2 linked regions of the Astyanax mexicanus genome follow. The protein of the gene in region 2 interacts with the protein of the main gene of each other region in a biochemical or structural test. Links are inferred from orthologs where the notes say so. Each region holds a gene or a part of one and is shown on either strand. Other genes may lie near its edges.

The links.
Region 1: the proteins of ston2 (region 2) and syt1a form a complex in vitro, tested with the Homo sapiens proteins (2 studies listed by BioGRID). The link is inferred for Astyanax mexicanus from reciprocal best matches to the Homo sapiens genes STON2 and SYT1.

What each region holds. Positions count from the first base shown.
Region 1 is NC_064409.1:25,636,816-25,644,046, forward strand, and holds the start of syt1a (synaptotagmin-1a), read right to left. Parts: upstream 3,005-7,231; 5' UTR 2,936-3,004; intron 1-2,935. UniProt on the Homo sapiens protein: Calcium sensor that participates in triggering neurotransmitter release at the synapse. May have a regulatory role in the membrane interactions during trafficking of synaptic vesicles at the active zone of the synapse.
Region 2 is NC_064421.1:7,591,059-7,599,019, forward strand, and holds the start of ston2 (stonin-2), read right to left. Parts: upstream 3,007-7,961; 5' UTR 2,779-3,006; intron 1-2,778. UniProt on the Homo sapiens protein: Adapter protein involved in endocytic machinery. Involved in the synaptic vesicle recycling. May facilitate clathrin-coated vesicle uncoating.

The DNA of each region.
Region 1 (7,231 bases), on a different chromosome or scaffold from region 2:
TAAATGCTAAATAGGAGTTTTTACAGTGGTTAATATGCTCTGATGCACATGATTAACTTGGCTTTGGCCCGATCACCATGGTGTGGTTTAGCGGGCATCACTGTGCTTATTCTAAGTGCTAATGTATTCCAGAATTGGGTCTCTGCTGAAGGGCATAAGCTCAAAGTTCCAGCTGAGTGGTACCGACCCTCTGGACTAGCAGACCGGCCACTGACCACCAGCCATGAACAGATAGGGACCAATGACCACTGGACTGGCAGCTTGCCAGATCAGCTCAACAGACTCAAACACAGGCTTTGGCATACCATAACCATGATACATTGATCAGCCATAAGATTAAAACCACTTCCAGTTTAACAAAATAGCATTGATCCTGTAACAGTTTTGCATATATTAGGCAGCGAGTGAATAGTAAGTTCTTAAAGTTGACATGTTAAAGCAGAAAAAAAGCTTAAGAATCTGCAAGACTTTAACCAGAAACAAACTAATCTTCCAGTTCAGAACATAAAGAAGGTGTTGTTAACGGTATGCAGTGGTCAATACTAGCGGTGCATATTTCTCCCTCTACAGCCCATAATATCATTATACCATTTACGCAATCAGTGAGAGCACAAGCTGAACTCTAGTGATCTCCAATCCCTCAAGAACCATCATTCAACAATATCTGATAAAACCACATTAACCAGAGATTACTTTACTAACCTTTATCATTAACAAGCTCTACAATACAGAGTTACTATATTCACTAATACCACTCACAACTTTACTGTACAGAACACAAGCTCTACAATACAGAGATACTATATTCACTAATACCACTCACAACTTTACTGTACAGAATACAAGCTCTACAATACAGAGTTACTATATTCACTAATACCACTCACAACTTTACTGTACAGAATACAAGCTCTACAATACAGAGTTACTATATTCACTAACACCACTCACAACTTTACTGTACAGAACACAAGCTCTACAATACAGTTACTATATTCACTAATACCACTCACAACTTTACTGTACAGAACACAAGCTCTACAATACAGAGTTACTATATTCACTAATACCACTCACAACTTTACTGTACAGAACACAAGCTCTACAATACAGAGTTACTATATTCACTCATACCACTCACAACTTTACTGTACAGAACACAAGCTCTACAATACAGAGTTACTATATTCACTAATACCACTCACAACTTTACTGTACAGAACACAAGCTCTACAATACAGAGTTACTATATTCACTAATACCACTCACAACTTTACTGTACAGAACACAAGCTCTACAATACAGAGTTACTATATTCACTAATACCACTCACAACTTTACTGTACAGAACACAAGCTCTACAATACAGAGTTACTATATTCACTAATACCACTCACAACTTTACTATACAGAACACAAGCTCTACAATACAGAGTTACTATATTCACTAATACCACTCACAGCTTTACTGTACAGAACAGAAGCTCTACAATACAGAGTTACTATATTCACTAATACCACTCACAACTTTACTGTACAGAACACAAGCTCTACAATACAGAGTTATCTCCACCCAACAGAGCCTCAACCCACTACAGAGACCCTCCACTCACCATAGCTTCTTTACCTAGGCTTTTCATAGGCTTTACCCTCCAGAGTCTCCACCCACTCTTCAGAGCCTCCATCTGCCAAAGCCCCTACCCAATTTACAGAACATCCACCAACCTGAGCATCCACCTACTCTATAGAGGCTTTAATCTCCAGAGCCTCCACCCACTCTCAAGAGCCTCTATCCAATACACAGAGCCTCCTTCCACCGGAACCTCTACACGCCAGAGCCTCCATCTATAACAGAGAACCCATAAACCAGAGCCATCACCTGCTCTACAGAGCCTCCATTCACTACACAGAGCCTGCACCCACTACAGAGAGCATACAATCAACAGAGCTTCTACCTATTCTCTACCTTCTAAAGCTTACACCAGCACTACAAAGCATCTACACGCCAGAGCCTTCACCTGCTCTGCAGAGCCTCCACCTGCCTGAGCATCCACCCATCAGAGCCTCTACCCATCAAACCCACAACTTGCTCTACAATGCCTCCACCTGCCTGAGCCTGCCCCTAACTGAGCCCCTATTGATCAGAGCCTTAATCCACCATAGCCTCCACCCTCTCTACAGAAGCTCTACCTTCTAGAGCCTGCATCTACTCTAAAGAGCCTCCATCCCTACTCAATTTACAGAGCGTTCACCAACCTGAGCATTCCCCTACTCTATAGAGGCTTTCTCCTCCAGAGCCTCCACCCACTCTTCAGTGCCTCCACCTGTTTTACATACTGGGGGAACCCTCAGCACTCGGAGAACAGGTGGGATGTGATGGGTTACAGGTGTAAAGTGGAGGCAGGATGGATGAGCCGTGTCTTCAGAAGCTCAGGAAACCTTTGATCTTGTTTGCTTGTTTGAGATGTGTTCTGTTCACTTATATATACCTCAAATTCACATTGTTAACATGCATTTATATAACACCACTCATCCGACTTTAGAGATCACACCTCCTTTTTTTTAGTTTGTGTGCAATCCTCTCACACCTTTATATAGTATATATACACACATATACATACCCATACAGTATATATAAATATAAAGTATATACAAAGCAGTTCCAGTTCCAGTTCCACAGTTTAATATACAGCAGAAGAAGGAAACCCTGCTCAGCTCACACTGGCATCTCCATCGATACCACCAAGCTGCCATATATCTGAGTGTGCATCTGTGTGTGTGTGTGTGTGTGTGTGTGTGTGTGTGTGTGTGTGTGTGTGTGTGTGTGCCAGGGATGCCACCAATCAGTGTAAATGCCAAGGGTGTGTTGTGTCTGATCCAGTGCATCTCTGTCCAACCCAAAGCAGCAGAAACAGAACCAAGCTCGCTCGCCTACCTTCAGCTGCAGAGACGCTGTTGATCGCCCCGACCCGAAGGAGGATGTGGAGAGAGAGAGGGATGGAGGAGAGCAAGAGAGGGACGCAGAAGGAGGAGCCTTACCAGGGAGTGGTGGAGCGAGAGAAAGAGAGAGAGAGAGAGAGAGAGAGAGAGAGAGAGAGAGAGAGAGAGAGTAAGAGAGAGAGAGAGAGAAAGAGAGAGAGGCTGACGTTATTATCTGTGAAACCCACAGGGATGCTTGTGCCTGACAATGTGATCCCACTGATAGAGAGAGAGAGAAAGAGAGAGAGAAAAGAGAGAGTAAGAAAATTATTAAAAATCAGAAAAGAGACAAAGAGACAAAGTAGTACAACAATAAAAGAGAGATAAATGAGAAGAAAATAAAATAAAAAATAAGGATTAAGAAAGTGGGAAAATGAAAAAAGGAGAAAATAATAAGAAAAAAGGAAACAGAGACAGACAAGGACTGAGGCAAGAAGTGAAAGAAAAAGAAATTAAGAGAAAAAAAGAAATGAAAGAAAAAAAAAATATGAAATGAAAGAAGTAGTGAGAAATAAATAAGAGACAATATAGAAATGAGAGTGACCAATTGAAAAATTAGTGTAAAATTAAAGAGAGTCAGAACTGAAAGATTGGAGAGACAGGAATAAGAAATAAGAGAGAGAGAGAGAGAGTGATGAGAGAGAGAGAGAGAGAGAGAGAGAGAGTGATGAGAGGAGAGAAAAAGGAATGAAAGAAAAATTAAGGAGAAAGAAATTGTGTGAATGTTTGAAACAATGGGTAATGGGTAACAATAGAGAGTAAGAAAGAGATAGAGAGAAGATAAAAATGAGAACTAACATATTAAGAAAAATATGAAGAGAAACAGAGAAAGTAGGGAAAATAAAGAGAGATAAAGATAAAGAGAAAAAGAAGAGAGAGAGAGTTACTGTAATGAAGGGGATTTCTTGCCTGTTTAATTGTTAGCATCACTGCTCTCCCTCTCCCTCTCTGGCTCTCTCTCCCTGTTGGAATCCCCCCAATCAGAAGGACCAGGATGAAGTCCTTGGTTCTGATTGGATGCTCAGTCGTGATGAGAACGGCAACGGTTTTCACAGCTGAGATCAGCCCTCAGAGTGTGGAAATTAACACACACACACACATACACTCGGAGCACTGGGACAATGACGAGCAAGGACATCCCCTCGAGAGACATACAGTAAGTGTGTGTGTGTTAAAGGGGAACTTCACCAAATTTAAAATTCTCCACATAGTTTTATAATAACAAAGTGAACATAGGGTTTGTTATGGAACGCTTGGTTCTAGATAATCATCCCCTGTTAGAACAGTTCACTATAATGGTGAATGGAAGCAGACAGATGAAGCTCTAAAACAGCTCCTAACAGCAACAAATGGCAGAAAATAGTCAGTAAAAAAAACAGTATTCGCTCAGATGATGCACATTTTACCAAAAACATTCCATATAAAACTAAGAACAAGCCAAAGTTATAGAAAAGAAACTATTGTCATGTCCTGTGATTTTTAACATGTTCAATGCAAGCTAAAAAAACATTGCTCTGGCACGTGGGATATGTGGACCTCAATATTAAACCTTACTCCAACTCCCATAATTCACCTGCACCCACTATCAGACCACACTCCAACTCCCATAATTCACCTGCACCCACTATCAGACCTCACTCCAACTCCCATAATTCACCTGCACCCACTATCAGACCACACTCCAACTCCCATAATTCACCTGCTCCCACTATCAGACCTCACTCCAACTCCCATAATTCACCTGCTCCCACTATCAGACCTCACTCCAACTCCCATAATTCACCTGCACCCACTATCAGACCTCACTACAAATCCCATAATTCACCTGCACCCACTATCAGACCTCACTACAAATCCCATAATTCACCTGCACCCACTATCAGACCTCACTCTAACTGCCATAATTCACCTGCACCCACTATCAGACCTCACTCCAACTCCCATAATTAATCAGCACCCAATATCAGACCTCACTCCAACTCCCATAATTCACCTGCACCCACTATCAGACCTCACTCCAACTCCCATAATTCACCTGCACCCACTATCAGACCTCATTCCAACTCCCATAATTCACCTGCACCCACTATCAGACCTCACTCCAACTCCCATAATTCACCTGCACTTGCTATCAGACCTCACTCCAACTCCCATAATTCACCTGCACTTGCTATAAGACCTCACAACAGGTGTTTATATGCATTCCCACTTCACAATCTAGTTCCTGTACAAATGACTGTCCCGTTACTTTTGGCATGTGTTCTATGATTTCTAAACTGCTAAAAAGCTTATTTCTACAGTAATTCACTGTTTTTGATGCAGCATGCGTATTGACATATTCAGCCTACAGCTGTTTAGTTCCACCCACTCACACTGAAGACAAGCATAGTGTTTTGGTTCCAGCAAAAGTCACCAAAAGTTTCACAGACTGCTGACACAAATGTGCAAATGCACACACACAGCTTGTTTAGCCTCTGTCATTGAAACTTGTTGCCAATACAATAGGACTCTCTGGAGATAAATGTTTAAATATGAAGATTTTGGCACCATGCTTAATATCAGGTGTAGTTCAGAGGGGTGGAGTTCCATTCAGTACTTTTGGCCATATATTGTAAAATAAAATAGGGGTATGGTGTAATGTACAAGCCCTGGCCTGCCACTTCACACACACACACAGAGACACACACACAATCTCTGAGAGATTGTGATTTCCCAGGAGAGCTCCATCAATAGCAGCCATGTGATTGTGTGTGTGTGTGTGTGTGTGTTCTGGCAAGGGCATGTACTAATTAAAGAGATGAATTCAGAGGCTAAGTTGACCTCTAGTCTGGAAGGAGGATTCTAACGGACCCGCTATTATTCCGACCCGAGTTCATTAATACTGAACCAGCCTGCAGACAGTCCAAACACACACACACACACACACCAGTCATGCATAATATTATGACTGCCTGATGTGTTAGCGTGTGTTGTCTGGGTATGAGTGGATCAGATACAGCAGTGCTGCTAGAGGTTTTAAACAATGTGTTAAATCACTCACTCTTTTACACACTCCTACCTACAGCTGCTTCACCTTTTAGATAAAATAAAGACACAGACAGAAGTTTGTGTTGCTCATTCTCAAGTTTTTCATCAGTTCCCACAGGATGCTACCCACACAATGCCACCCACAGGACATTGCCCACAGTACACAGTACTGCTGTATTTTTGTTCCATTTGTGTCAGCACAACACACACTAACACCTTATGCATCAGGGTCCTGAGCATTAGGGAACAGGGTGGTTAATAATTGACAAGAGGTTAATAATAAGGTATGGACAGAAATAGATACAGGACTACAGTCTGTAATTATGGTGGCCAGTAGGTGTTTCCAATAACTTGGCCATATAGTAAGTGGAAGAACAATGTAACGTAGGTGTCTTGCAATAAAGTGACCATGTAGTGAGTGAAGACACTAGGTTGAGTAGGTGTTTCCAGTAAAATGGCCAGTAAGTGTAAGCAGGAATGTGAAGGTTGTGAAGCGAGGCCTGTATCCAGATAACAGCACAGCCGAGAGTTTCTAATGTATTGAACGTTAACTTTGGGGTGTCTGTAATGTGGCATTACCACACTGCCAAGCGGGTTCATTGGGTATAAACACACTCCAGTGTTTGCGCAGTGTTTTGAATGTTTTCTTGCAGTGTGTGTGTGTGTGTGTGTGTGTGTGTTTTGAGTTCCTGAGGACAGTCGTTGCAGACGCTGTGCAGCAAATGATCCTTTTCACAGCCGGAGCTGCCAACCAAGTACCAACTCGCTGGCAGTAAATGTAATTTGATGAGAGCAATGACTTTCTCCACTGCCACACACACACACACACACACCTGAACCTGCAGACCCTGCAGTTTTATGCATAATAAACAGAAGCTGCATGCTGCCGTGTGCCCGCTGAGGTGCCACCCTTCTGGAATCAGTTCCATAAGCTGACTTTGCGCATATGTCCACCCTTATAGAGGGTATACTATAGAGGGTGCCATACTGATAAATAATATACAGTATATAATATACACTGAACTGTCTGATAAGGTCGTCTGCTCTTTGATCTTCCCTTGACTCATCAGATGTTACATTTCACACATTTGATGTAACTTTGATAAGAAGTTCAAAGACAAAACTTCAAAGGGACACTTCTAAGCTTTCATGACAAAGCTAACAGTAGGAAGACTCATCTTAAAGGCATAGTTACCCAGGATATTCAGAGATGTTCAGTGATGTT
Region 2 (7,961 bases):
TACTTTTAAGTAAAAAGCTTAAGATGATACAGAAGTATTTAACCTCTACTATCTATACTGCAGAGTAATGAATGGGAACACATTTTCCTGACCAACAGTTAAGAGAGTAGAAAGTAGAATCTTTCTACTCTACCATTGGTTTACCACATGCTTATACACTGTAATTATTACACTCTTAAAAACCAAAGTAGGCACAAAGAAACTGGAGTACTCAGAGGAAACCCATGCAGATACAGGGACAGCACACACACTTTCTCACAGATAGTGACCAAAACAGAGATCGACCCCACATCCCTAGGCCCTACTTGTGCACTACCGATGCCACTGTGTGATTAAAGAGCTGAATTAAAAAAGCATTAGTTGAAAACTACAGCTTTGGAAAAAAAACAAAAAGACCACTTCAGTTTCTGAATCAGTTTCTCTGATTTTGCTATTTATAGGTTTATGTTTGAGTAAAGTGAACATTGTTGTTTTATTCTATAAACTACAGACAGCAATTCTCCCAAATTCCAAATATAAATACTCTCATTTAAAACATTTATTAGCAGAAAATGAGAAATAGCTGAAATAACAAAAAAGATACAGAGCTTTCAGACCTCATATTCATAAAGTTTTAAGAGTTCAGAAATCAATATTTGGTGGAATAACTCTGTTTTTTTATCACAGTTTTTATGCATTTTGGCATGTTCTCCTCCACCAGTCTTACACACTGCTTTTGGATAACTTTATGTCTTTACTTCTGGTGCAAAAATTCAGGCAGTTCAGTTTGGTTTGATGGTTTGTGATCATCCATCTTCCTCCTGATTATATTCCAGAGGTTTTCAATTTGGCAAAATCAAAGAATCATCATTTTTAAGTGGTCTCTTATTGTATGTGCATTTGCACATCTGTGCCAGGAATGGGTCTAATTTAAATTAAATAAAAGCTTTTATTAGGAGGGGTGTCCACAAACAATTGGATGGACGTGAACTGAATGTACTGAAAGTTAAAATTAAAGTTTTAAAATTAAAGACTACTCAAACATAAATGCAGTTCCATTGAGGTATGAATGGACTTTTAATAAATGCATTTTCAAGTAGATTCAGGAATATTTGATACCTGTAACTGCACTGATTTCTGCAGTGCCAAGAGTTTATTCACACATATTGATATTTTATCCACATATCTACTCAGAGACTGATACAACAGACTACTGTCCAACTCTGAACAGAACACTGTGGACAACACACCACTAGACACCAGTCCTGATCCAAACACAGGCCTGATTAAATCAGACAATGTCCTGCTTATGCAACTGCTGAGCAACTGTTTTTCTCCACTCCTGCAGCCGGTAATATGAATACATCACCAAACAATGTGGAACTGATGCTTCATCAAGACAAGAAGATGAGCTCTGGGTAAGGAATGCATTACTAAACTGAGGCAGATTCAATCAATTACTGTGACTTTTAGAAACTTCAGAGAGTTTATTCAGAGAACTGAATAGTTTACATAATATAATATTAATTATACCACAGTTAGTTCCGACCCTGCAGTGTGATTGGCTGAGAAGAGTTTTATGAGTGACATTATCAGCCGGTAATGCACTTTAACCAAAGCTCTCCATGTATTACTGGTAACCTAGCAACAATGCAGCGCTTACAAGCCAAATACAAATACAAATGCGATATCATTATACACCACTGGGAGCCGCTGGATCCCATAGACAAAGTGAATAAACACCATGTCTCCAATAGGCGGTGCGGACAAAGACGCGGTCCCACAAATAAATAAGCTTAACGATTCAAAAATACACTTTATTACACACATTATCAGCCACCAATATCATGTTAAGAGTTGTTATCAATAAAATAAAAGCTTAAATGTATATATTTTCCAGTTCATTCAAACGATTGCTAATCTTTAACCACTTATAAATTATGAGTTTCTTTGATTTTACCAAATTGAAAATCTCTGGAATATAATCAAGAGGAAGACGGATGATCACAAGCCATCAAACCAAACTGAACTGCTTAAATGTTTGCACCAGAACTAGCATAAAGTTATCAAAAGCAGTGTGTAAGACTGGTGGAGGAGAACATGATGCCAAGATGCGTGAAAACATGTGGGTTAATGCACCAAATATTGATTTCTGAACTCTTAAAACTTTATGAATATGAACTTATTTTCTATGCATTATTTGAGGTTTGAAAGCTCTGCATCTTTTTTGTTATTTTAGCCATTTTATTCAAACATAAACCTATAAATAGCTAAATTGGTTAGACTGATTCAGAAACTGAGGTGGTCTCTTAATTTTATCCAGAGCTGTATACATGTTATTTCCTGGGCACAGAAATGGCACTGATTCGGTGGAATATGTCATGTACTTTTCCATATTACGTATACTTTTAAAAAATAACTTAAATGCACTTTTCTTTTCCAAATGAATGCCTCCAGCTATAAACCCATAGCAAATAGAAACAATAAAACAACAGATTAAAGCAAAACTCAGTCTGAAATTCGCGTATATCGTAAAAATAAGCTGGAAAATGATCTGAAATGCTGTAAAATGATGAAAAAGAGAAGGAAAAATTAAGAAAATCTGTGAATATAATCCATATATAAACTATTTCTCTAAAACAACCTGTTCAGAGCCGCTGCTGAGAGCGACTTCAGCGCTAAGCTTTAACCTGACACACAGAGACTCCGCTAAATCAGTTAAAATCCGCCATAAACCGCCAGAAAACGACAAAACACGCGAAGTTTTACAGCAAATAAACAATAAACAGGTAAACACACAGCGCGCGCTGATCGGGCTTACGCAGCGAATCTCCCGGGTAACCTCCGCCAGCCTGCTGGAATGTGATTGGCCGGTCGCCGCCGCCGCTGCTTTACGTCACCGCCGGGAGAAAAGTTCACACTGTTGCTCCTAAATCGACGAATTTCACGCAAATATCGTTAAAACGGAGGCCCTGCTCCTCTCCGCGCGCAGGACCGCGGGCACGCGATCACGCTACGCCGGATTTACTGCCTTTATCCGCGGTTTCGCTTTAAACCCAGCAGTTCCCGCGCGCCCCCTGCCGGCTGCGCTCCAGCACTGCAGCCCCGCACTATGCACCGGCTTACAGTGAGCAGTGCATTACTCAATACTGCACCAATAAACTGTTTCAATGTGAATATAAGCTGTTTTTAATGAGCCAACACACTTAAAATATACTTATTTGTCAAGTTTTAGAGTTTCTTCACTTGCACAGCCATAGATTGTCCAGAAGGTGGCGACACAGTTCTTAAAACCATACATTATGTGTACATTTACCCTAAATATTTAATATTTACAACGTGTTTTCTTTCTTTTTATGATTTTATACATTGTAAATTCAGTATTGTATTGATGTGAGTCTGATCATGGATTTAATTGTATATATTTTAATTAAAGTGCAGACTAAACTTTCTAAAATTATTGTTCATAATAATTGAGGTCAAACATTCTTTTTTTGTTTACTACATCATTTTATATGTGCCCCTTAAGTGTTTTTACTATTTTTTATGTCTTTAATATTAATCTACAATGTAGAAAATAAATTAAATGAAGAGATAAAGAAAATAATTGAATGAGAAGGTGTGGTCAAACTTTTAACTGTTACTGTATATAACTAGTTATTATGAACAAATAAAACATAAAACAATAATAAAAAATGCAGACACATTAGGCTTCATTGTTTTTTTTAATAAGTTTGTTAAAATTGCATCATCATTTCTATTTTAATTCTAAGGCTTTGTATATGTTTTACTTCAGCCAAAGAAAAAAAAATAGTGAGCATTCAGAAATTTTCTTTATGAGTATAATATAAAAGTATATATAAAGTACCAGACAAAAGTTTCATTAGTTTCAAAGTGTCATGCATAATTAGCAGATATCCTACTATAACTACTTTTAATCGCATCAGTTATACTTATGTTAAATATTATACGAGTTTCTATTAATTTATAGTATTCTGCACAAACAGCTTAAGGTGGAATTTAAGATGGAATGGGGTAAAGGTGGAACAGAACATTCTGGGAAAATGCTAATGCTAACTTCAGCATATTTTAGAACTGCTGGTCTGTAATTTCTGGCCTATAGCTGCAGCTGCTCTCTGGCTCTGCTGATGGCAGCCTGTGTGTGTGAGTGTTTAGGACGCAGGTAGAAGGGGCCACAGGGCTTCCTATCCCATAGTGCACCACTGACCCACTCTACACTCTACCAGCTAGAGCCAGGAATTACAATGTTAAATTAATAATAGTGTTCTGGTTTGTTTTGTTACACTCACCTTGATTTTTTCAGTGCTGTAAAAATTAGGAACTATGCTCCCTTGTGTGGATTCTTCCCCTCACCTCTATATGAATCGATATTGGATCATTTAGAAGAATGAAGACTGATTTGAATTTAAAAAATGATTTTGAAACACACCCTCATATAGCCCTATCCGGACGGGATTAGTTTCTCAGAGGGTCCTGGTGTCATTTTCTTTTTTATCTAGGGTCCTCTGGGATTTTATTCCAGTCCGGAGCGACCATGTACGTGTTTTCCTCAGACGTCCTCTGAGAAAATTACAGGCTGAATTAAATACTGTTTTTCACTGAACTCCTTGGTCCTCCGGTAATTTTAGTCTTGTCCGGAGTTTCATCACCTAACGTTTAATAAAATAGCTATTTGTCCACTGCCATGCACTGTAATTACACTTTGGGTGCACGTTTCCACGGAGATCCATGTAAAAAAACACAACAGCGAGTGGAAATGAAGGAGCTACTGAACACGGTGTCATGTGACTGAGAAAGCCAAAAAAAACTCACTGATCCTCCTGTTTTTTCAGTCGTAGAGTAGAAGTGTGAAAATTTTCACAGATGTCCCCCTGAGAAACTAATCCCACCAACATTGAGTTTGAAACACACCCCTAATATAGCCCTATCTGGACCGAATTCATTTCTCAGGTATTAACTGAGGTAATCTTTTATGGGGGTCCTCTGTGATTTAATTTATTCCAGTCTGGAACGACCATGTACGTGTTTTCCTCAGATGTCCTCTGAGAAAATTACAGGCTGAATTACCTACTGTTATTCTCTGAACTCCGTGGTCCTCCGGTAATTATAGTCTTGTACGGACTGCAATCTCTGAGTTTCGTCTCCTCGCGTTTAATAAAATATTTGCTATTTGTCCATTGCCATGCACTGTAATTACAATTTGGCCACGTGTTTCTGCAGAGATCCTCGTACAAAAAAAACACAACAGCGAGTAAAAATGGAGGAGCTACTGAACGCGGTGTCATGACTGAGAAAGTGTAGAGTAGAAGTGTGAAATTTTTCACAGACGTCCCCCTGAGAAACCAATCCCACCAACATTAAGTGAAACATAATATAGCCCTATATTTAATGGGGATCCTCTGTGATTTAATTTATTCCAGTCCGGAACGACCATGCATGTGTTTTTCTCAGACATTCTCTGAGAAAGTTACAGGCTGAATTACCTGTGTGTCGCTGAACTCTGTGGTCCTTCGGTAATTTTAGTTTCGTCTCTTCACATTTAATAAAATAGCTATTTGTCCACTGCCATGCACTGTAATTACACTTTGGGTGCACGTTTCCACGGAGATCCATGTAAAAAAAACATAACAGCGAGTGGAAATGGAGGAGCTACTGAACATGGTGTCATGACTGAGAAAGCCAAAACAACTCACCATTACTCCTGTTTTTTCAACTGCAGTCTGGATACAAGAGTAATCCCATCCAGATAGGGCTTATGTGTGTAGATAGATTTCCGGTAGCACTTTATTTTAAGGAACACAAATTAGTCACTTACTAATGTCTTATTATTTGCTTAATAAAGCCTTAATTAGACATTTATAAATGATTTATTCACTACTTATAAGGCTTTAACACTTCTGTGTAAGTGTTATTGGTGCTTAATTAGCGGTCTGTTATGTGGAAATTATTAATAATGGCTGTATTAGTTCTTATAGCACAATAAATGGCTCATATTCTTGGGAATAATTTACCAGATTTCTAAGTTTGGCCCTTGTCCTCCAGTCTACATGGTATGTGGCATGTTGTGCTTCAGTCTGCGGGAAGACCAATTAGGTAACCACACACTGCTGAACATTAGGGAAAGTTGCTTTGCCAAGTCTAGTCTTTAATAAGGGACTGTTTACAGTGCGGTGATGGACTCAGGGCCTGGTCCAAGATCTAAACATTGCAGTGTGTGTGTGTGTGATCACTGCTGCCCGAGCCAGCTGCCTTTTCTAGATGAGAGAGCGATCCTCGTCCTCCTTAACTTCTCTGAGACTTTCTGCCCTGCCTATCGGTCATGCTTTCAAAGTCAGAAACATTTCTCTAAATCCCTCCGCAAAGAGAAAACTGGCTTTATTTATAGCAGTGGCGGCGGCAGCAGCAGCAGCAGGGTGAACTCTGTGTCTCTGTGTGTGTGTGTGTGTGTGTGTCTGTGTGTGGGTGTAAATTTCTGTGTGGAGTCGAGGAGACCCCTGTTGGGCTCTTTGAGTCCTTCAATGGAACGGCTAGCTCGCTCTCCGGCCACGATCGTCTGTGTTAGCGCGTTGCATAACCGCCAGTGACGCCTGTGCTCTAACACTGTTGCTAGGGACAGCAGTCGTCTGCCCCACAACCCCCCCAAACTGTCATCACTCGCACAGAGAACTTTTACCACCCCGTCACGCATCCCTGCCAGCGGCGCCTGTGCCAGGATGTTTTGGATGCAGGAAGGCAGGGGTTCTATAAACTGTAAACTCTGCTTATTATTATGTAAAAATGAAGAGCTGGAAAACAGAGCTGGAAAACATGAGCTGGAACATTATTGACAGTAGTGCTGGCGGAATGGATTATTCCCCTGAATGATCATTTATGATCTATAATTTTGGTCTGTTGAATACTTTAAACTCTCCAGCTTCTTCATCTTTGCTGTGTAAGCACTCAGACAGTAATGTAGCATGTCTCAGAACTCAGACGAAATTAATCCTAGTGTAACCAATGAAATGGGTGAAGCATAATGATGGAAAAGGCTGAAGCATAACAGTGGAAGTGGATGAAATATACAGTAAATATATGGAAAGGTTGTACCATTACAATGAAAGTGGATAAAGCAGTACTAACGTACTGATGGAGCATGATGTCCCATTCTAAATGTAAGGTTTTGTAAAATAACTGTACTAATTGTATTAAATTAACTGTATTCAACTTTAAGCATTTTAAGTGTTAAAGCAGCTTCACAATCATAAACATGCAAGTGTGGAACACAGAACCTTCTAGATATATTTTCTTTCTTGCTCCTGCGCCAGACAGCTCTGACCAATCAAAAGAGACAACAAGCTTTCGCATTTAGGTATACGCACCTGTGTGAAAACAAACCAAACTCCCAAGTAAACTAACTAATCAACTGATCCGGATCTGAGAAACTAACTACAGGTGTAAGAACACCCTTAGATTTAAGTTGCAGGAACCTGCAGGAAGGTCATTTTTAGGGACATGATATACTGTATGTTGTAAGAGCGAACCACTAGTAGAAACTGTCATATAGTACTATAAACGAGGGGGCAGATTTGGAGCTGGTGGGAGAAACAGTATGTTCTTCTTGGCTCCAATGGGAACTTTTACACTGATGCTGCTGTAGATGAACTTTTACTGCCCCAACATACGAACATCCATCTCAGAGCTCATCTTCAGGGCTTATGTTCCATTCCATGCCTCATTGTCCATGTTGTAGGTTCAGTATAAGATATGATGTAGGTGTGTGATGTGGTGATGGAAGGGTTTTGAGTAGAGGGAGAAGACTGCTAGGAGGCAGGGAAATGGATTTCTCTGAGCAGATGCATGAAGCACATCAGCAGTTCAAGGTTAGAGCCTCCTCATCCCCAGCCCTTCATCCATTCTACATTATGACCATAATTTATCCCCCGGTTAACCTACTTTCATAGCAATTAAAAACCCAAGGCAAG